2 linked regions of the Anolis sagrei genome follow. The protein of the gene in region 1 interacts with the protein of each later gene in a biochemical or structural test. Links are inferred from orthologs where the notes say so. Each region holds a gene or a part of one and is shown in the gene's direction. Other genes may lie near its edges.

What was found.
Region 2: the proteins of CDC27 (region 1) and ANAPC4 form a complex in vitro, tested with the Homo sapiens proteins (2 studies listed by BioGRID). The link is inferred for Anolis sagrei from reciprocal best matches to the Homo sapiens genes CDC27 and ANAPC4.

What each region holds. Positions count from the first base shown.
Region 1 is NC_090026.1:44,041,529-44,053,156, forward strand, and holds the start of CDC27 (cell division cycle protein 27 homolog), read left to right. Parts: upstream 1-6,611; 5' UTR 6,612-6,900; coding exon 6,901-6,927; intron 6,928-11,628. UniProt on the Homo sapiens protein: Component of the anaphase promoting complex/cyclosome (APC/C), a cell cycle-regulated E3 ubiquitin ligase that controls progression through mitosis and the G1 phase of the cell cycle.
Region 2 is NC_090025.1:112,826,574-112,837,756, forward strand, and holds the start of ANAPC4 (anaphase-promoting complex subunit 4), read left to right. Parts: upstream 1-5,427; 5' UTR 5,428-5,539; intron 5,540-7,270; 5' UTR 7,271-7,291; coding exon 7,292-7,399; intron 7,400-9,453; coding exon 9,454-9,559; intron 9,560-10,238; coding exon 10,239-10,371; intron 10,372-11,183. Other genes in the region: rRNA N6-adenosine-methyltransferase ZCCHC4, read left to right, coding at 625-746, 929-1,004, 1,405-1,456, 1,852-1,996, 3,426-3,537. UniProt on the Homo sapiens protein: Component of the anaphase promoting complex/cyclosome (APC/C), a cell cycle-regulated E3 ubiquitin ligase that controls progression through mitosis and the G1 phase of the cell cycle.

The sequences.
Region 1 (11,628 bases):
TGAGAAAGAGAGGAAAGGAAAGGCCGGGGGCTGGGTCAGAACACTCCCAATACAGACCGAAATAGGCACACAGAGCCCCCATCACCCACTCTACATCCTACTGCAGTTTGGAGGACTATGAACCATGGATGATGGGACTTGCAGTACCACCACTCACATTCTGAGACCACTGCTAACCTCATCCAATGACTGATCAGGACCAAACTTCGCACAGAGACCTCTCATGACCCACTTTACGTCCTGGTGTGGTTTGGCTGAGGATGGACCATGGATTATGGGACTTGCAGTACCATTGCTCATTCTTCAGACCACTGCAACCCTCATCCAATTACCAAAAAATACCAAACTTGGCACACTGAGTCTCCATGACGCACTCTACATCCAGGTGCAGTTTGAAGGAGGATGCACCATGGACGATGGGACTTGCAATACCTGCACTCCCTTCCTAAGACCATTATAACAGCCAACAATGATGGATCAGGACCACAATTTACACAGAGACCCAGCATGACCCACTCTACATCCTGGTGCGGTTTGGAAGAATTTGACAATGGATGATTGGACTTGCAGTCACTTCACTCACTTCCTGAGACCACTGAGACCCTCGCCAATGACTCATCAATACTAAACTTGGCACATGGAGCTCCAATGACCCACTCTACATCCTGGTGCACTTTGGAGGAGGACAGACCATGGATGATGGGACTTCAAGTACCTCCACTCCCCAAGACTTCTGCAGAACTCATCTAATGACCAATCAAGACCAAAGTTGGCACACAGAGCCCCCATGACCCACTCTACATCCTGCTGCAGTTTTGGAGAAGGGTGGACCATGGATGATGGAACTTCCAGTACCTTCACTCGCATTCTGAGACCTCTGCAAACCTCATCCAATGACGGATCAAGACCAAACTTGGCACATAGACCTCTCATGACCCACGTTACGTCCTGGTGTTGTTTGGAAAACTTTGGAGATGGATGATGGGACTTGCAGTACCTTTGCTCACTTCCTGAGACCACTGAGACCCTCGCCAATCACTAATCAAGACTAAACTTGCCACATGGAGCTCCAATGACCCACTCTACATCCTGGTGCAGTTTGGAGGACAGACCATGGATGATGGGTCTTCAAGTACCTCCACTCCCTTCCGAAGATTGCTGCAACCCTCTTCTAATGACCAATCAAGACCAAACTTGCCACATAGAGCCCCCATGATCCACTCTACATTCTGCTGCTGTTTGAAAGACGATGGACTTTGGATGATGGGACTTGCAGTACCTTCACTCACTTACTGACACCACTGCCACCCTCATCTAATGACTGATAAAGACCAAACTTGCAACCGGAGCCCCCATGACCCACTCTATATCCTGCTGCTGTTTGTAGGAGGATGGGCCATGGATGATGGCACTTCAAGTACCTTCACTCACTTCCTGAAAACAATGCAGCCATTATCCAATGACCAATAAAGACCAAACTTGGCATACAGAACCGCCATTACCCACTTTCTCTAATAACCCGGGCAGCGCCGGGTCCCCAAGCTAGTATATAATAAAGAAGAGTGTTTGTTTGTATAGGACAGAGGAATTGTGGAGGGCGGTGTATGTGCCAGCGTTCTGATTGGCTGCCGCTGTGGTGCTATTTGCATATGGTCTCTGATTGGGCAGCTTCAATAGGAGCCCCTGGTGGAGAAGAGGGTTCATGGCAGAAACAGGGCATGACAGAAGGAAATTTGCATATGGTCTCTGATTGGCCAGCCTCAAATCCAACATTCCGAGATGACAAAGAGAGGAAAGGAAAGGCCAAAGGGGGCTGGGTCAGAACACTCCCAATACAGACCGAAATAGGCACACAGAGCCCCCATCACCCACTCTACATCCTACTGCAGTTTGGAGGACTATGAACCATGGATGATGGGACTTGCAGTACCACCACTCACATTCTGAGACCGCTGTTAACCTTAGCCAATGACTGATCAGGGCCAAACTTCACACATAGACCACTCATGACCCACTTTACGTCCTGGTGTGGTTTGGCCGGGGATGGACCATGGATTATGGGACTTGCAGTACCATTGCTCAATTCTTCATACCACTGCAACCCTCATCCAATTACCAATAAATACCAAACTTGGCACACTGAGTCTCCATGACGCATTCTACATCCAAGTGCAGTTTGAAGGAGGATGCACCATGGACGATGGGACTTCCAATACCTGCACTCCCTTCCTAAGACCATTACAACTGCCAACGATGATGGATCAGGACCACAATTTACACAGAGAGCCTGCATAACTCACTCTACATCCTGGTGCGGTTTGGAAGAATCTGACAGTGGATGATGGGACTTGCAGTCACTTCACTCACTTCCTGAGACCACTGAGACCCTCGCCAATGATTCATCAAGACTAAACTTGGCACATGGAGCTTCAATGACCCACTCTACATCCCGGAGCAGTTTGGGGGACGACAGACCATGGATGATGGGACTTCAAGTACCTCCACTACCCAAGACTGCTGCAAAATTCATCTAATGGCCAATCAAGACCAACGTTGGCACACAGAGCCCCCATGACCCACTCTACATCCTGCTGCAGTTTTGAAGAAGGGTGGACCATGAATGATGGAACTTCCAGTACGTTCACTCACATTCTGAGACCTCTGCAAACCTCATCCAATGACGGATCAAGACCAAACTTGGCACATAGACCTCTCATGACCCACTTTACGTCCTGGTGTTGTTTGGAAAAATTTGGAGATGGATGATGGGACTTGCAGTACCTTTGCTCACTTCCTGAGACCACTGAGACCCTCGCCAATGACTACTCAAGACTAAACTTGCCACATCGAGCTCCAATGACCCACTCTACATCTTGCTGCAGTTTGGAGGAGGACAGACCATGGATGATGGGACTTCAAGTACCTCCACTCCCTTGCAAAAATTGCTGCAACCCTCTTCTAATGACCAATCAAGACCACACTTGGCACACAGAGCCCCCATGATCCACTCTACAGTCTGCTGCAGTTTGAAAGGGGATGGACTTTGGATGATGGGACTTGCAGTACCTTCACTCACTTACTGACACCACTGCCACCCTCATCTAATGACTGATAAAGGCCAAACTTGGCACACAGAGCCCCCATGACCCACTCTATATCCTGCTGCTGTTTGTAGGAGGATGGCCCATGGATGATGGGACTTCAAGTACCTTCACTCACTTCCTGAAAATAATGCAGCTGTTATCCAAAGACCAATAAAGACCAAACTTGGCATACAGAACCGCTATTACCCACTTTCTCTAATAACCCGGGCAACGCCGGGTCCCCAAGCTAGTATAACATATAATACAGTGCAAAGCATTTTATCCCCATTGGCAGCCATTCAGAAGACCTACTCCCTTCCCTGATTGGCTCAGGAATAGTCAAGTAAGGATCTGAGCTGGGGACTCTGTGTGATGTCAGGGGTGCATGGAGTCTCCCTTGTGGTGGGAAAAATGGAAAGCTGCTATTCGTCCACTTGAAGCTGGAACCATTTGGAAGATCCTCCTAGGACAGTGGTTCTCAACCTTTCTAATGCCGCGACCCCTTAATACAGTTCCTCATGTTGTGGTGGCCCCCAACCATCACATTATTTCTGTTGCTACTTCACAACTACAATTTTGCTACTGTTATGAATCATAATATAAATATATGATATCCAGGATGTATTTTCATTCGCTGGACCAAATTTGGCACAAATACCTGATATGCCCCAATTTGAATACTGGTGGGGTTGGCAGGGGATTGATGTTGTCATTTGGGAGTTGAAGTGGCTGAGATTTATAGTTCACCTACAATCAAAGAGCATTATGAACTCCAACAATGGAATTGAACCAATCTTGCCACACAGAATTTTCTTGACTAACAGAAAATACTGGAAGGGTTTGGTGGGCCTTGAGGTTTGGAGTTGTAGTTCACCTATATCCAGAGAGCACTATGGACTCACACAATGATGGATCTGGACCAAACTTGCCATGAATAGTCAACATGCCCAATGTGAATGAACACTGGTGGAGTTTGGGGAAAATAGACCTTGGCATTTGGGAGTTGTAGTTGCTGGGATTTATAGTTCACCTACAATAAAAGATTATTCTGATCCCCACCAATGATAGACTTGGGCCAAACTTCCCACACGGAACCCCTATGACCGACAGAAAATCCTATGTTTTCAGATGGTCTTTGGCGACCCCCCTGACACTCCCTCGTGACCCCCCCCCCCCCAGTTCACCTACAATAAAAGATTATTCTGATCCCCACCAATGATAGACTTGGGCCAAACTTCCCACACGGAACCCCTATGACCGACAGAAAATCCTATGTTTTCAGATGGTCTTTGGTGACCCCCCTGACACTCCCTCGTGACCCCCCCCCAGGGGTCCCAACCCCCAGGTTGAGAAGCACTGTCCTAGGAGAAATGGGGCAAGACTTGGAAAATGATCTGAAATAGTCTAGGTGACAGAGACAAAAGACAACGCTTATGCAAACACTTCAATTACATCTCTAAAGAGGCTTGGCTTCCTGGATGTTCAACACTCCAACAGTTTCTCAAGCACATTTTATATAGTTCACGTTTCTTTGGGTGCTTGATTCTTGTACATATGAGTCCTCTTCCCTGACTGTTCATTAATAAAGAAAACGTAGGTGCAAAGGTTCTCCTCCAGTGGCAGATTAGAAAAAAATGTTATTTCAATACAGTTTTGCATAGTTCTCTTACCAGGGAAGAGGGGAAAAGAGGGAGATAACAACAACAACAACAACAACAACAACAACAACAACAACAACAACAACACTTTGTTTATAAACTGCCTTTATTTATATGTATATTCTGCCTTTATTTATATTTATATTCTGAGGGGACTCAGAGTGGATTACAGTGTGTGTGTGTGTGTGTGTGTGTGTGTTCCCGTACCTTGGGAAGTCTGATCTGACCACAGTGGTCCACGCTCTTGTTACATCCCGAATAGACTACTGCAACACACTCTACGTGGGGTTGCCCTTGAAGACTGTTCGGAAACTTCAACTGGTCCAGCGAGCGGCAGCCAGATTGGTCATCAGAGCGACATACAGGGAGCACACCACCCCCCTGCTGTGTCAGCTCAACTGGCTGCCGGTTCAGTTCCGAGCACAATTCAAGGTGCTGGTTTTGACCTACAAAACCTTTTACGATTCCGGTCCAGTGTATCTGTCCGAACGTATCTCCCTCTACGTCCCGCCCCGTAATGTGAGATCATCTGGGGAGGCCTTACCCTCGACCCCACCGCTTTCACAAGTGAGGCTGGTGGGGACGAGGAGCAGGGCCTTCTCAGTGGTGGCCCCTCACCTGTGGAACTCACTCACGGGGGAAATTAGGGCATCCTCTCCTCTCCTTCAGGAGGAAGGTAAAGACGTGGCTGTGGGACCAGGCCTTTGGGCAATGTGACAATTAGATTTGGACAACCAGATGGATAGGACTGAAAGGACTGACAATTGTGGATTGGAATTTGAACTATGAGATTGCGAAACGCTGACCGTCAATGAGAAGAATGGTTTGTATTGGTTTTACTGCTTTTATGGTTGTTTTTGCCTTACAATAATTACTGTCTCTATTAATTGATGTTACTGCTAGAATTGCCGTTTCTGTTACCTGATGTTATTTGTCTTATTGCTGTTATGTGATGCGGGCATCGAATTGTGCGTTGCTTTTGTAAGCCGCCCTGAGTCCCCTCCGGGGTGAGAAGGGCGGGGTAGAAGCAACCGAAATAAATATGTGTGTGTGTGTGTGTAAACAGACACAGGCAAACATTCAATACCTTGATTACAATGACAGACAATGAGACAACAAATGCATAAACAAAAGCAAAGGCTTCTCCTTTCCTTTCTGGCTCTGGAGGTGGTGCTCACAGCAACCCGGATATGAAAGCTTTCAACAACACATTCAATGGGTTGTTTCCAGTTCAGGAAGGCTGGAAACACTCTGCTTCTGGGTGGGGTGTTTGTAGGTGAAACAACCTGTTGTAAGCACAAAATCCTGCTCGGCAGGTTGTCCTATTCCAACTCCCAATACTCAAGGGGAAAGGTATTGACAGCAATCGGGTATTTTTTTTGCCTCGACCCACTTCGTCTATTTCCGTAACAGGCGCCGAACGTCTTCGTTTATTTCCGGATATTCTCGTGTCCCACTGTAAACGCTTATTAGGAGGCATGTTTATCTTACCCATACATTACTTCCGGGTATTCTCGTTTCCCACTGCAAACGCTTATTTTGATGCATGTTTACCATATGCATACATTAATTACACCATTCAGGCCAAATGTCATACCTATATGATGAGAGACAATGACTCCTAAACATATTTTCAAGATGGAGATTCTTTTTTTCTCTCCCATTTCAAAGCAGGGCCGTTTCGCGCCACTTCGGCGACTTACGTCAAACGGGGCGAAGAAGGACGAGTCCGCGGCCGCTTGGGGGCAGGCGTTGGGAAGCCTTCGTCTCCTTTCGGCTCTTTCCGTGGAGGCGTTCGGGACGCGTTCGGCTCATTCCGTGTCCGCTCGGAAAAGCGCGGAGGAGGAGGCCTCGCCGAGGTCGGGTCTTTCCGTGCCTTTCCGTCGGCGGCTCGGGAAGATTCGGCTCCTGACGGGCCGGGGCCTTCCCTTCCTTCCTTTCCCTTTCCCTCCTGCGCGGCCCGGTTAACGGTCGCAGCCAGTTTAAATGAGACGGGGTGCGGGTGGCCGCTGCTACTACTACAAGTACAACTACTACTACTACTACTATTCCCGCGTCACCCACGGAGGCGGAGTCTGAGGGGGGAACAGAGAGAGGAGGGGGCGCCCTGGGCCCACCTCCCTCATCCGGGTCCTGTCCCTGAGGGGAAGCCGGGGAGGATGACGGTGCTGCAGGAACCCGTCCAGGTAGGGACCCCGCGGGCCAGAGAGAGAGAGAGGCCTACGCCGGGCGGCGGGAGGAAGCAGGCAGGCAGGCCAGCCGGCCGAGGAGCCTCTCCCTCCGCCTCCCCGCCGGGAAAAGGCTGCTGCCGAGCCAGGGAAGTGCCTCCCGTGGAACTCTTCGCCCAGGACCTTCTCCCAAGAGGCTGGAAGGAGCCATGTGGAGGGAGGGAGGGAGGGAAGGAGGGCTTCAAGGGGGTCCTTGCCCCCCCCTCCTGCCCTCAACATTAACCCCTGATCAGGAAAACGTCGCCCACCCTCCTCCCAAACCTTCCAGATCCTCTCCTGGGTTGCTCTTCACATAAAGCATGCACACACATTAAGTTATTAGTATGACATCATGGCACTACAGGTAGACTCACCCTCCTAAATATCTAAAATTATGTTCAGCCTTTCTCCCCATCCATCATCTCCACCTGAAAAAGCATTAAGTTATGAACATGACATCAGGCAACTTTCAGGGCCCTTTCCACGCAGCCATCTCACCCAGAATATCAAGGCAGGTCATCCACAACATCCCAAATCATAAAATTTATGTTCAGCCTTTCTTCCCATTCCTAATCTCTATCGTAAAAAGCGTTAAATTATCAATAAGACATCAGGGCCCTTCCACGCAGCCATCCCACCCAGAATATCATGGGCCCTTCTACACAGCCATCTCACCCAGAATATCATGGCAGGCCATCCACAATATCCCAAATCACAAAATTTGTGTTCAGCCTTTCTCCCCATTCCTAATCTCTATCGTAAAAAGCGTTAAGTTATCAATAAGACATCTGGGCCCTTCCACGCAGCCATCCCACCCAGAATATCATGGGCCCTTCTACACAGCCATCTCATCCAGAATATCATGGCAGGTCATCCACAACATCCCAAATCACAAAATTTATGTTCAGCCTTTCTTCCCATTCTTAATCTCTATCGTAAAAAGCGTTAAGTTATCAATAAGACATCAGGGCCATTCCACACAGCCATCCCACCCAGAATATCATGGGCCCTTCTATACAGCCATCTCACCCAGAATATCAAGGCAGGTCATCCACAACATCCCAAATCATAAAATTTATGTTCAGCCTTTCTTCCCATTCCTAATCTCTATCGTAAAAAGCGTTAAATTATCAATAAGACATCAGGGCCCTTCCACGCAGCCATCCCACCCAGAATATCATGGGCCCTTCTACACAGCCATCTCACCCAGAATATCATGGCAGGCCATCCACAATATCCCAAATCACAAAATTTGTGTTCAGCCTTTCTCCCCATTCCTAATCTCTATCGTAAAAAGCGTTAAGTTATCAATAAGACATCTGGGCCCTTCCACGCAGCCATCCCACCCAGAATATCATGGGCCCTTCTACACAGCCATCTCATCCAGAATATCATGGCAGGTCATCCACAACATCCCAAATCACAAAATTTATGTTCAGCCTTTCTTCCCATTCTTAATCTCTATCGTAAAAAGCGTTAAGTTATCAATAAGACATCAGGGCCATTCCACACAGCCATCCCACCCAGAATATCATGGGCCCTTCTATACAGCCATCTCACCCAGAATATCATGGCAGGTCATCCACAACATCCCAAATCACAAAATTTATGTTCAGCCTTTCTTCCCATTCCTAATCTCTATCGTAAAAAGCGTTAAGTTATCAATAAGACATCAGGGCCCTTCCACACAGCCATCCCACCCAGAATATAATGGGCCCTTCTACACAGCCATCTCACCCAGAATATCATGGCAGGTCATCCACAATATCCCAAATCACAAAATTTATGTTCAGCCTTTCTTCCCATTCCTAATCTCTATCGTAAAAAGCGTTAAGTTATCAATAAGACATCAGGGCCATTCCACACAGCCATCCCACCCAGAATATCATGGGCCCTTCTACACAGCCATCTCACCCAGAATATCATGGCAGGTCATCCACAACCTCCCAAATCACAAAATTTATATTCAGCCTTTCTTCCCATTCCTAATTTCTATCGTAAAAAGCATTAAGTTATCAATAAGACATCAGGGCCCTTCCATACAGCCATCTCACCCAGAATATCATGGCAGGTCATCCACAATATCCCAAATCACAAAATTTATGTTCAGCCTTTCTGCCCATCCCTCATCTCCACATTTAAAAGAAGGCATTGTGATTAAAATGACATCTTGTCACTACAGGTTTTGAGTTCTCCCTCCCAAATCTTGGAAATTATGCCCTGCCTTTTTTCCCATTCCTAATCTCCGTTTTAAAAAGCATTAAGTTATCAATATGACATCAGGGTCCTTCCACACAGCCATCTCACCCAGAATATCATGGCAGGTCATCCACGACATCCTAAATCATAAAATTTATGTTCAGCCTTTCTTCCCATTCCTAATCTTTATCGTAAAAAGCATTAAGTAATCAATAAGACATCTGAGCCCTTCCACACAGCCATATCACCCAGAATATCATGGCAGGTCATCTACAATATCCCAAATCACAAAATGTATGTTCAGCCTTTCTCCCCATTTCTAATCTCTATCGTAAAAAGCATTACGTTACCAGTAAGACATCAGGGCCCTTCCACACAGCCATCTCACCCAGAATATGATGGCAGATCATCCGCAATATCCCAAATCATAAAATTTATGTTCAGCCTTTCTTCCCATTCCTAATCTCTATCGTAAAAAGCATTAAGTAATCAATAAGACATCAGGGCCCTTCCACACAGCCATCCCACCCAGAATATAATGGGCCCTTCTGCACAGCCGTCTCACCCAGAATATCATGGCAGATCATCCACAATATCCCAAATCATAAAATGTATGTTCACCTTTCTAGCCATTCCTAATTTCTATCGTAAAAAGCATTAAGTTATCAATAAGACATCAGGGCCCTTCCATACAGCCATCTCACCCAGAATATCATGGCAGGTCATCCACAATATCCCAAATCACAAAATTTATGTTCAGCCTTTCTGCCCATCCCTCATCTCCACATTTAAAAGAAGGCATTGTGATTAAAATGACATCTTGTCACTACAGGTTTTGAGTTCTCCCTCCCAAATCTTGGAAATTATGCCCTGCCTTTTTTCCCATTCCTAATCTCCGTTTTAAAAAGCATTAAGTTATCAATATGACATCAGGGTCCTTCCACACAGCCATCTCACCCAGAATATCATGGCAGGTCATCCACGACATCCTAAATCATAAAATTTATGTTCAGCCTTTCTTCCCATTCCTAATCTTTATCGTAAAAAGCATTAAGTAATCAATAAGACATCTGGGCCCTTCCACACAGCCATATCACCCAGAATATCATGGCAGGTCATCTACAATATCCCAAATCACAAAATGTATGTTCAGCCTTTCTCCCCATTTCTAATCTCTATCGTAAAAAGCATTACGTTACCAGTAAGACATCAGGGTCCTTCCACACAGCCATCTCACCCAGAATATCATGGCAGGTCATCCACGACATCCTAAATCATAAAATTTATGTTCAGCCTTTCTTCCCATTCCTAATCTTTATCGTAAAAAGCATTAAGTAATCAATAAGACATCTGGGCCCTTCCACACAGCCATCTCACCCAGAATATGATGGCAGATCATCCGTAATATCCCAAATCACAAAATTTATATTCAGCCTTTCTCCCCATTCCCAATCTCCATCTTAAAAAGCATTAAGTTATCAATAAGACATCAGGGCCCTTCCACAAAGCCATCTGAGTCTTCCTTCCAAATCTCCAAAAGTATGTCCTGCTTTTTTTCCTCATCTCTCATCTCCACAATCAGAAACCATTGTACTCATGTGACATCATATCACTTCAGGTTGAGTCTCCCTCCTAAATCTCCAAAATTATCTCCTGCTTTTCTCCTCATCTCCACATTTAAAACAAACAAACAATTGGTATTAGTATGACATCATATCATTACAAGTTAAGTCTCCCTCCCAAATATCTGAAATTATGTTCTGCCCTTCTCCCCATCCTTCATCTCCATCTTAAAAAGCATTAAGTTATTAATATGACATCAGGCGACTTTCAGGGCCATTCCACACAGCCACATCACCCAGAATATCAAGGCAGATCATCCAAAATATCCTGTTTGAACTGGATTATCTGAGGCCACTTCCACATAGCTGAATAAAACCCCACATTATCCACTTTGAACTGGGATATATGGCAGTGTGGAAGGGCCCTAAGTCCAAACTGCCATATAATCCAGTTCAATGTGGATTTTATACCTGTTTGGAAGGGGCCTGAGTCTCCCTCCGAAATCTCCCAAGATTACCTCCCGCTTTTCTTCTCATCCCTCATCTCCACATTTAAAAGAAACGATTGTTATTAATATGAAATCATGTAAGTGCAGGTTGACTCTCCCTCCCAAATCTCCAAATTGATATACAGCCCTTCTTACCCATTCCTAATCTCCACCTGAAAAAGCATTAAGTTATGAACGTGGCATCAGATAACTTTCAGGGCCCTTTCCACACAGCCATATCACGCAGAATATCATGGCAGATCATCCACAATATCCCAAATCACAAAATTTATGTTCAGCCTTTCTTCCCATTCCTAATCTCCATCTTAAATAGCATTAAGTTATCAATAAAACATCAGGGCCCTTCCACAAAGCCATCTCACCCAGAATATCAAGGCAGATCATCCACAATACTTGCTTTGAACTGGATT
Region 2 (11,183 bases), on another chromosome or scaffold:
GATAAAAATGTAAGAACAAACAAACAAATAAACAAATACAACATTGCACACAAGCTCCTAAGTATAGTAGACATCTTCATGGTAGTGATAGTTCTCAAAAATTAATTCTATACTTGCTGGATACTTCCAGTGCTGATTGCAACTTCTTACTACTGCTTTACCACCTCATCCTGAATACAACTTCGAAGTTAAGTCAATTTTGGTTTGGATTGGAGATTACTAGAAGCCTCCATGTAGGAAATAATCCTGCCTGAAAATTGGAGGGCCATGTAATTAAGTGTGGGTAACTGCAGCCTACCACCTTTTGTTAGGACTCCCATTTCTTAGAATCCCTTACCATTAGCTTTGGTATCTAAGGTTTGGAGGATTTTTATGTTTTTTGTTTTTTGTTTACTGATGTACTGTGCGCTTGGCCTCATGTAAGCCGCACCGAGTCTCTTGGGGAGATGGTAGCAGGGTATAAATAAAGTTGTTGTTATTATTATTATTATTATTATTATTATTATTATTATGCCAAACATATCTGGAGAGATACAAGTCCTTGTAATACTGGTTTGAAACTTTGTTTTTCATAGCAATATTTCTGCATCTCCCCCTCCCCTGCATCTTTTTTTAAAAATCTAGGTAGACTACGACAATCATGCACTTTATAAACATGGGAAGACGGGTCGTAAACAATCCCCAGTTCGTATTTTTACCAACCTTTCACCACGTTTGATCGTGCTTCCTACAGAGGAAGGATATAGGTAAGAAACATTTGATGATCCCCAGACTTCAAATATTATTTTTATTTTTTATAAAAATAACATTTATTTGGCTGAAGATATCAATTACAGAAATGTGTAATGCAATAGCCCTTGAAGCAGAAAAAAATATATACTTTCAACTATTTTCTCTCTCTCTCTTTCTCTCTCTCTCTCTATACCAGATTTTGCTCTGTCTGTCAGCGATATGTCAGTTTAGACAACCAGCACTGTGAAATCTGCAATTCGTGCACATCTAAAGTAAGTGTATGACTTTTGGAAGAGATTAATAACAGTTAAACTTTGATCTGGTTTAGAGAGATATGGAGTGGGTAAGCAAGTGGTTTCAAAGTGGAAGCTAAAACCTAAATACAGTTGCTAAAGAAATAATATATACTTGCTCCCTGTATGCATGTACCCTTTTCTCGTAAGAGAAATATGTTAGTGAAGTAATATATTTCTCCCTTCCAGTTGAGCATATATTTTTGGCATACACAAGGTGAAGGCTGCAGGGTAAAGGCTACAATAATATACATAGAGGACAAAGAGATTTTGTGCTTAAAGCATAACATAAATATCATAAGGCTAAATGGGAAATTCGTACAATTTAAGTCTAAATTCAGTACAAAGTTCATCTTTTCCTTTCTTTTTTTACAAATAGGATGGGAGACGATGGAGACATTGCTGTCTTTGCAAAAAATGTGTAAAACCCAGTAAGTATTTTTGACCTAATTTTCAGCACACAGGGCCCTTCTAAACAGCCATTTAACCCAGAATATCAAGACAGATAATCCACAATATCTGCTTTGAAGTGGGTTATCTGAGTCCACACTTCCATATAATCCAGTTCAATGTGGATTGTATATAGCTGTGCTGAAGGGGACACAGTAGTTCCTCAAAGGAAACAAATGTTAAACTGCTACTGAATGTTTTGCTGCAGGTTGCACTTGTAAGACATGGTTTTGAAATGCCTTTGAAAGGGAACTCTCTGGATCAATTGGGCCACAGTGATTGGAGAGGGCTGTTCTCTCTCATGCTTGGAATTGTCTTAGAGCTGTATGAACACTTTTTTTCTTTATAGCTCTAATGTGTTCCTTTTATTTTGCAGCTTGGGTTCACTGCAGCACTTGCGATAAATGTGCTCTTCCAAGTCACTCTTGTAAGGATACTGACACTGGGTGCTATATATGTGGAGCCGCAGACCATAAACGCACCACCTGCCCTAACCTGCAGGTAGACAGGAGAGGTTCCCAGTAAGTTTGTTATGTGAATTTTCCTCCCTTTCTTTGTGGGAACAAACAAGCTAATTTCCTTTTCATAAAAAAGGGCCTCATTGAATACTTGATATACTACAGCTATAGAAAGCTTTTTTCCACTTCACTAACACATTGAAAACTACATGTGACTCACACTCTTTGTGTACACATGTGTGTGCATGTATCTTTTAAAAAACTCAACTACGGTTACAGGTATGTTTGCTGCAAACACACAAGAAAGGAATATTTTACAAATCTCTCACAAGCTGCTATGTTTCGGTGTAAATATGCATTTATAGAATACTAGCTTGGGTACCTGGTTACTTGAAAAAGTCCATTTTTAATTGTACAAAATGCATAAGGTTGTGGGTGAACTACAATTCATCATGCAAATGTCCATCAGTACTTATTTGTTTTATGGGCAAGTTTGCTTAGGATGCATCATTGGTGAGATTCAGTGTGCTTTCTAACTGTAGGGTAAACTACAACTCTCACTATGGTTAGTCAGTCCCCTCAAACCCCTCCAGTAGGTTGAGTTAGTCACGGGGGTTCTGTGTGCCAAGTTTGGTCCAGGTCCATCATCGGTGGAGGCCACAGTTTCTCTGGTTGTGGGTGAACTACAACTTCCAGAAAGGAAAGTCAGTATTCCCCAAACCCCATAATCAAATAATGTTGCAATTGGCCACCTTGGTTAGCACTGAATGGCCATGCAGCTTCAAAGCCTGCCTGGGGTGCTTCCTGCCTGGGGGAACCCTTTGTTTGAGACACCCTCAGACAGTATCAGTTAACACCTCCCAAGCAAAGAATGCCCCCAGGCAGGAACCACCCATGCTTTGAAGGTGCAAGGCCATTCAATGCCAATCAAGGTGGCCAATTGCAACATTCCACAGATATATAACCTCACTTGCCTAGTTTCCAACGGACCTTGCAATCTCCGAGAATGCCTGCCATAGATGTGGGTGAAATATCAGGAGAGAACGCTTCTGGAATGTGACCATACAGTCTGCAAAATTCATAGCAGCCCAATATTTTATTTATTACCCACCTTTCTTTTTGACTTAAGACAAAATACATCTAAAAAATCACATTAAAACATAGTTAAAATGCAACCATAAAAGCATACATTTAAAAGATAAATATTTAAAAACACCTGAGACAAAGGTTAAAGCACAATAATCAGAGAATGTGATTTAAAAGTCATAGTCTCAATTGTTTTGAAATTGCTAAAGTTGTATTAGAATACTCTTTGTGTGTTCCTAATCGCCCCCTTACAGTACTTTCCAGGATCATACAAGAAACTTCACAATAGTGCTGTGAGCTTTAGAATTATTTTTTTTTAAAAAAGACCTGGAACTTTTAACTATTTGTTGAAGTCATATTTCCAGTTTTAACAAATGGCACAATTTTTACATTTTCTTCTTTTCAGAAGTGGCAAAAAGACAAAGAAAAAGAAGAAGAAGAAGGCAAGAGCAAATGTTGCCAAAAGAAAAGGTGCAAAGAAGACAAAAACTGCAAGACATACAAAGAACAAAAAATAGAAAAACTCATCTTTGCAGCAGTGCTGTTATTAAGCAGCAATTTGAAAGACAGACTAAATTAGGGCTTTGTTTTTGTACATATTGTACTTTTCACTAAAAAAGGCATAAAAAGACTTCGCAAAAAAGTTCAGCTTGCTAATGTGCTAAAAGTAAACACTATTATATGTTTATAGCCACATACACTATTCAGTGTTTTGCGGGTGAATTTGGAGAATTCAGTGCAATTCAATCATATTGTATAAAGGTGAATATGTGTATTTTTGTATTTAAAAAATTGCCTCTTTGGTGCCATCTTCATTTTTGTTCATCACTTGGGAGGATTTGAATACTCTGAATTGCTAAGAAGAAGTTGCAAAGTACTATAAGACATAGGACATTAACCACTTATCCCTAAAGCCAATCTGAGGGGCAAAGGCTGGATTGACCTATGATAGCTTAGACCTGCCTTTCCTTTTCAATCTCTCTGTCCAGCATCAAACCAAGTGATGACTGCCCAATACAAATATATACACATATAAATGTAGTGGTTTTTTAAATGCCACTGGAGAGTTCCTTTCGAAGTGGTTGATTTGTGATGGCCTTGATAGTATTCCATTTGCATTTTGCAAAGATGCTGCCTCTCCCCAAACCGACCTGAACTGTTTCACAGTAACTTTGTAATCTTCACATATCTTCTCATTATGGCATTATTTCATCACAGGGATAGATAGAACTATGTAACACAATTTTTGTTCCTGGGTTATAAATGTCATTTCCTAACTTGTTCTATTATAAAAACATGGAAAACTAAACTGTAAGGAACATGAAAGGCACTGCAGACTAATTCAACCAGATAAGTCAAGCCATAGCAGAGCACTTGATGAACCAACCTGGACACAGCATATTTTTTAAGAACACAGAAATGCTGGACCACTCAAACAACCGCTACACAGATAAGCCACTGAAATCCACAAGCATGTGGACAATTTCAACAGAAAGGAGGAAACCATGACATTGAACAAAATCTGTCTACCAGTATTAAAAAACACTCTAAAACCAGGACAGTTAATAAAGAATAACGCGCAGTAAACGGGAATTCCAGACAAGAAACAATCAGGGCCAGCTAATGCCTCCCAACAAAGGATTCCCCCGGGCAGAAAGCAGCCAGGCTTTGAAGCTGCAAGGCTTTTGTTTATTTGTTCAGTTGCTTCTGACTATTGGTGACCTCACGGACCAGCCCATGCCAGAGCTCCGTGGCCACCCTCAGGTCCTTCAAGGTCAAGTCAGTCACTTCAAGGATACCATTCATCCATCTTGCCCTTGGCCGACCCCTCTTCCTTTTTCCTTCCATTTTCCCTGGCATCATGATCTTCTCCAAAATTTCCTGTCTTCTCATTATGTGGCCAAATTACTTCATCTTGCCTCTAATATCCTTCCCTCCAGTGAGCAGTTGGAGGTATCAAGGTAGCCAATTGCAACATCCACACTTGCCCCCAACAGACAAGAGTTCTTTCTCCTACCTAGGACATTCCATAGACATATAAACCTCACTTGCCTTGTTTCCAACAGGCCTCAGCAGTTTAACCCACTGCACCACCAAACTGAATCCATACTGTAGAATTAATGTAGACTGGCACCATTTGGACTGCAATGGGATATAATTTTGGGATTTGCAGTTTGGTACAGCTCCAGCATTCTCTGGCAGAGAAGACTGAAGAACCTACTAAAACTCCAACTCCCAGGATTCCCTAGCATTGAGCCACTTCAGTTAAAGTGGGGTCAGGCTGCATTAATTCTGCAATGCAGATGCATCCTCAGAACCTTCCAAAGACAAGAGATCTGATCCTTCTGAAAGGCATACTTTCTAAGGATGCAGTTTGGCCTTTCGACCTCTAGATGGCGCAAGGCAAACCCTCTTACAGGAAGTGCTGGATGGTGATGCTTCTGCTTGCAAAAGCCCGGGAAGGAAGTGGAGCTGTGTTTCATTGCAGAGCAGAGTGACAACCGGGAAGGAGAAAAGAGGGTATGATGTGGTTGGATTGGTCACATTTTTCAAAATAGGATGCTTCTGTTCGATTCCTTGCAGGCACCTCTCCATCAGGGAGTTCTCTCTTACAAAGAGATTTAATTAAACAGGTTGAGGATCCCTGTTGCTAAATTTTGGTGACTGCAACAGCAGTGGACTCGAATTGAAACTGGCATGAGGTGCTATATTGCAGAGAAAAGCCATTGCAAACCACCTTTCAGTCGTCCTTGCCTGAGATCCCTTCTACACAGCCCTATATCCAAGGATATGATCCCAGATTATCTGCTTTGAACTGCATTTCCATCTACGAACCCGCATGTTCTCTTCGGTCATCTGGAGAGGCCCTGCTCGTGATCCCACCGGCGTCGCAAGCGCGCTTGGTGGGGACGCGGGACAGGGCCTTTTCCGTGGTGGCCCCCCGACTCTGGAACACCCTCCCCAAAGACCTTAGACAGGCCCCTACATTGGCTGTCTTCAGAACTTGAAGACCTGGCTTTTCCGATGCGCCTTCCCAGATTAGGAAATCTCCACTACCAAGTCCCATAAGCACTTTATCAGAACCAATGATTGCTGCACATCGCACTTTCCCTGGAAGCCCTATATACACCTCCTGTCACATCAGCACTTTTAATCTTGTACCCATTGCTCTGGCCCGGCCCAGTTTTATTGTGTTTAGTGTATTGTGCCTGTTGTTTATTTTGCTTTATTCTGTTTTTAATTGTTTGATTTGCTTAGATTGTATTGTTGTGTTGTGTGTTGAGGCCTCGGCCTGTGTAAGCCGCATCGAATCCTTCGAGAGATGCTAGCGGGGTACAAATAAAGTTTAATAATAATAATAATAATAATAATAATAATGTGAGTCTACACTGCCAGATAATCTGGGATAAGAAGATAATCTGGAATCAGTTCCTGGGGCAGTATAAATCTAGCCCAAGAAAACTTTGTGAGATTCTTAGGATTGCCATTAATTGACAGCTTGATATAGACAAATATATTCACAAACACAATGGCTGGAATCCTGATTGTCTAAATTTGAGATGGCCTGTTGAATCAACAGCTAAGTGATCCAACTTGTAAGTAAATAAAATTATTATTTATTTATTTCAGACATTTATATCCTGTCCTATCTCGACCTCCGCAGAGGGACTCGGCGGCTGACAACAAAAGCATAAATATACATCTTAGATTTTAAAAAATTATAAAACATCATAAAAACAGTAAAGCAATTGATTCAGTGGACCTACTCTAGGTTGGGCTAGCAAATTTAGGCCAATCTTGTCTATCATGTGGCATGGAGGAACCTGGGATGAGAACCTTTGGTGGTTAATAAATACTAGAAGAAATATTAGATGCATATTCAGGATTCTTTGCCACCAATACATAAAGGGAAGAGTGGATAAATATGCATTCTTCTCAATAGAAAGTTAGCTTTGATATTTCTGTTTTGGCATTCGTTTAAATATGTTGTGTTAATAAGGAGCCTTTGTGATGCAATGGGTTAAACTTCAAATCTGGGGAGTGGATGAGTTCCCATCTGTCAGCTCCAGCTTCTCGTGTAGAGACATCAAAGAAGCCTCCCACAGTATGGTAAAACATCCGGTCGTCCCCTTTGGAAATGTCTTTGCAGACGACCAATTCTCTCACACCAGAAGCGACTTGCAGTTTCTCGAGCTGCTCCTGAAATGGAAAAAAAATAACCAAAACCTGGGCTGTATCTTTTTATTTTAGGGAATTGCCACATCTGCAGCCATGCCTGCATTCCGGCAGGTTGGGGAGAAGCAACTGCCTCAAGAGATCATTTTCATGGCCTGGTCTCCCAAGAGGGATCTGATTGCCTTGGCCAACAAAGTTGGAGAGGTAAGGAAAGGGAACAGTGCTAAGAACCAATATATGTGGAAAGGATGGAGTGCTGAATGGGCCTGCTCTCTTTTACATTTTGTTACATGTAAAATCAGTTGTATTCTCTCCACATCCTTAGTAGATATAGCATGACATATTCATATTATAGAAAGTAACTGCAATTTGATATATATTAATAATACTATGTAACAAAATTGGAAAAAGTAAATCTGTTTCTAGCTTGAAAGTGTTATTTTCTGTTTAATTCTGTGGCACTTTGAAAGTAGTTGTTATACTCCAGAAACTTGGAGTATGTTTTTTTTTCCCCCGGCAATTGAATGTTTGCCTTATATGTTGGAAACCGGCCTGAGTCCCTTCAGGGAGATAGGATGGTATACAAATACAGTTTTATTATAGTTCTATTAAAGTTTGTTTTTTTGGCTGCCACAAATGAATTGGTTGAGATTCAGTGAGATATTCATTGAAAAACTATTGCAAAATGTGCTGCAGGGAGTTCTGCAAAAACAAAGTTTTTGTAATGTGTTGTCGAAGGCTTTCTTGGCTAAAATCACTGGGTTGCTATGAGTTTTCCAGGCTGTCTCGCCATGTTCCAGAAGCATTCTCTCCTGACTTTTTGCCCACATTTATGGCAGGCATCTTCAGAGGTCGTGAGGTCTGTTGGAAACTAGGCAAGTGAGGTTTATATATCTGTGGAATGTCCAGGGTGGGAGAAAGAACAATTGTTTGTTTAAGGCAAATGTGAATTTTGCAGTTGGTTACCTTCCATAGATGTGGGCGAAACGTCAGGCAAGAATGCTTCTGGAACATGCCCATACAGCCTGGAAAACTCACAGCAAACTGGACACCACTTTTTAAATCCAAGAGAACATCCCTTTATGAATGTCTAGGTCCTCTAGCACAACTTTGTGATCAACTTCCGTCAGGAGAACATATTACTTAAATCCATAAATAATAAAATCCACAAAAGGTCAACTCACAAGGGTGGAAGGGTCATCATAGAGTTGGTAGAGACCACAAGGGCCATCCAATTACCTTGTATTTGTTTAAGATGAGTTTGACCGTAACATTATGTAGTACAATTTTTGTTTTCTAAATGTCGTTTCCTAACTGGTTCTATCATAAAAACATGGAAAAGGTTGATTATCTTGCAGTAGATTTTGCTATAGTTTTTCAATAAATATCTCACTGAGTCTCAACCAATTCAACATAATTTGTGGCAACCACAAAAACAACATTTCTGAACTATAACAACTACTTTCGTACCACACAATTAAACAGGAAATAACCCTTTCACACCAGGAGCAACATTTTTTCAAATTTTGATACATCGTGTAATTTGGCACTGCACATTGACAATGTCATACTGCCATGGAAATCGATGCAGATTTTCTAAAACATTTTTTTTTGTTAGGATACATTTGTAATATTATGTTGCCATAATAGATGATGCTGGCTGCTGTAGAATTGTATTGTCGAAGGCTTTAATGGCTGGAATCACTGGGTTGTTGTAGGTTTTTTTCGGGCTATATGGCCATGTTCTAGAGGCATTCTCTCCTGACATTTCGCCTGCATCTATGGCAAGCATCCTCAGAGGTCGTGAGGTCTGTTGGAACTAGGAAAATGGGTTTATATATCTGTGGAAAGACCAGGGTGGGACAAAGGACTCTTGTCTGCTGGAGCTAGGTGTGAATATTTCAACTGACCACCTTGATTAGCATTTGATACCCTGGCAGTGCCTGGAGCAATCTTTTGTTGAGAGGTGATTAGATGTCCCTGATGGTTTTCCCTTCGCTGTTTTGCTGTTTTCATTTTAGAGTTTTTTAATATTGGTAGCCAGATTTTGTTCATTTTCATGGTTTCCTCCTTTTTGTTGAAATTTTCCACATGCTTGTGTATTTCAATGGCTTCTCTGTGTAGTCTGTAGAATTTTAATGCATTTTTCCTGCTGTTAGGTGCTCTGAAAATACCTCTCTCTTTTGTACTCGTTTGTTTTATTTTCTCTGGAGGCAGATAGTTTAAATACTTTCATTTCATTTCCCAACATTTCTTAGGTTTTACTTCACCGTCTTGCAAACTTTCAACGAGTCTGGAGTCTGCCACCAAGTGACAGCACAGGGAAAGATGTGACGGCCCTCGCATGGAGACCAGATGGCAAAAGTAAGATGTAACAAATGACCCTTTGTATCATGAATTACACTATGTAACGAAATTTGTAAATTATTCTGTTCCTGGTTTGAAAGTGTTATTTCCTGTATAATTGTGCAGTACTTACTTTGAACTCCGTGTTTGTGGCTGCTACAAACTATGTTGAATTAATTGAGGCTCAATGAGATATTCACTGAAAAACTATAGCAAAATATACAGCAGTTTTTTCAGTTTAATAAACTTTTCCCATGTTTTTATGATAAAACCAATTAGGAAATAACATTTATAACCCAAGAACAAAAATCGTTTTACATAGTGTTATGTTTTAAGTGAAATTGTGCTCTTAAGGCACATGTCATCCGTTCACTGCATAAGATGCATCCTGCTTGCCAGTCTTTAAAAGAAAAAAAAAACAATTTTGTTTAATATAAAAAAATATTTTTTTTGTTTTCTTAGTATACATCAATACCTTCATACTCTTATATTCCATCCTTAATTCATTCCGTCAACTATAAGTGTATATCAAAAATTATGACTAATGGATTTGCCTTATATTCCAGACTACATTTGTATACTGATTGTATTTCACATAAAAAATGCATTTCTTGTAACCGTTTCTAAAGTCTGCTGCTTGCAGTTAATATTTGTTAAGTGCACTATATATTTTCATGTTTTACCTTTCCTTCCATAGTTTTGGCTTTTGGACTTGCTGATACCAAGAAAGTCATCCTGTGTGATGTGGAGAAACCAGAGAGCTTGCATTCTTTCTCAGTGGATTCTCCTATTACTTACATGCACTGGATGGAAGTTACAGAAGAAAACAGGTAGGCAGGAGACAGGCTCGTAGCGAGGATTTTGGTTCGGGGGGAGGGGGGTGAGTTTGATTGGGGGGGGCTGAGTTTCATTTGGGGGGGCTGAGTTTGATTCGGGGCGGGTGGGGTCAGGATCTACCCTAGCAAATCTTTTGTATCGTTACCCCAATACCCCCATGCATATGGGATATATTGAGCATGGTGATCAGATCATGATATCAATAAACATAACAATTTAAATAATGTACCAGTAAGGCCTTCTTGCGGACACCCTGAGAATTTCAGGGGGGGCTGAAGCCCCCACCCCCAGCTACGGGCCTGGCAGGAGACAAATACTTATTGGTGCCCATTCATCCAATAACTTGTGTAACAAGAATTCCTTCCAGATGACCAAATCAGCCAGGCCAGTCCTGGAAACTCCTATAACCACCGTACCACACAAGAACCCAGGAATATAAGCAGTTTATTGTAAAAACATATAAAAAGCATATAAAATCAAGATAAGAAAGGAAGATATATAATTCAAAAAGGTTTAGCAAAAGGCGATAACCCAATAATAATCCAAATGTTTCTAAGAGTTCCAGAGATGACAAAGCCCAGAAACAGCCAGGAATCACAGCTATAGCATAAGTCCACAATCAGGAAGGTTTAACTAGTAAAACTTGAACAGGAATACATTAAGAGAAACATAGAAAACTTCTAGGATATATTATATCCAAAATCAAAGCTTGTCTTGAACCAGGAACAAGAGAACTTAGGCTTCGCTTCTCACTCTAACTCTGTGTTGTCTGAACTGACCTTAAGGTAAACAACTTGTTGTTTAA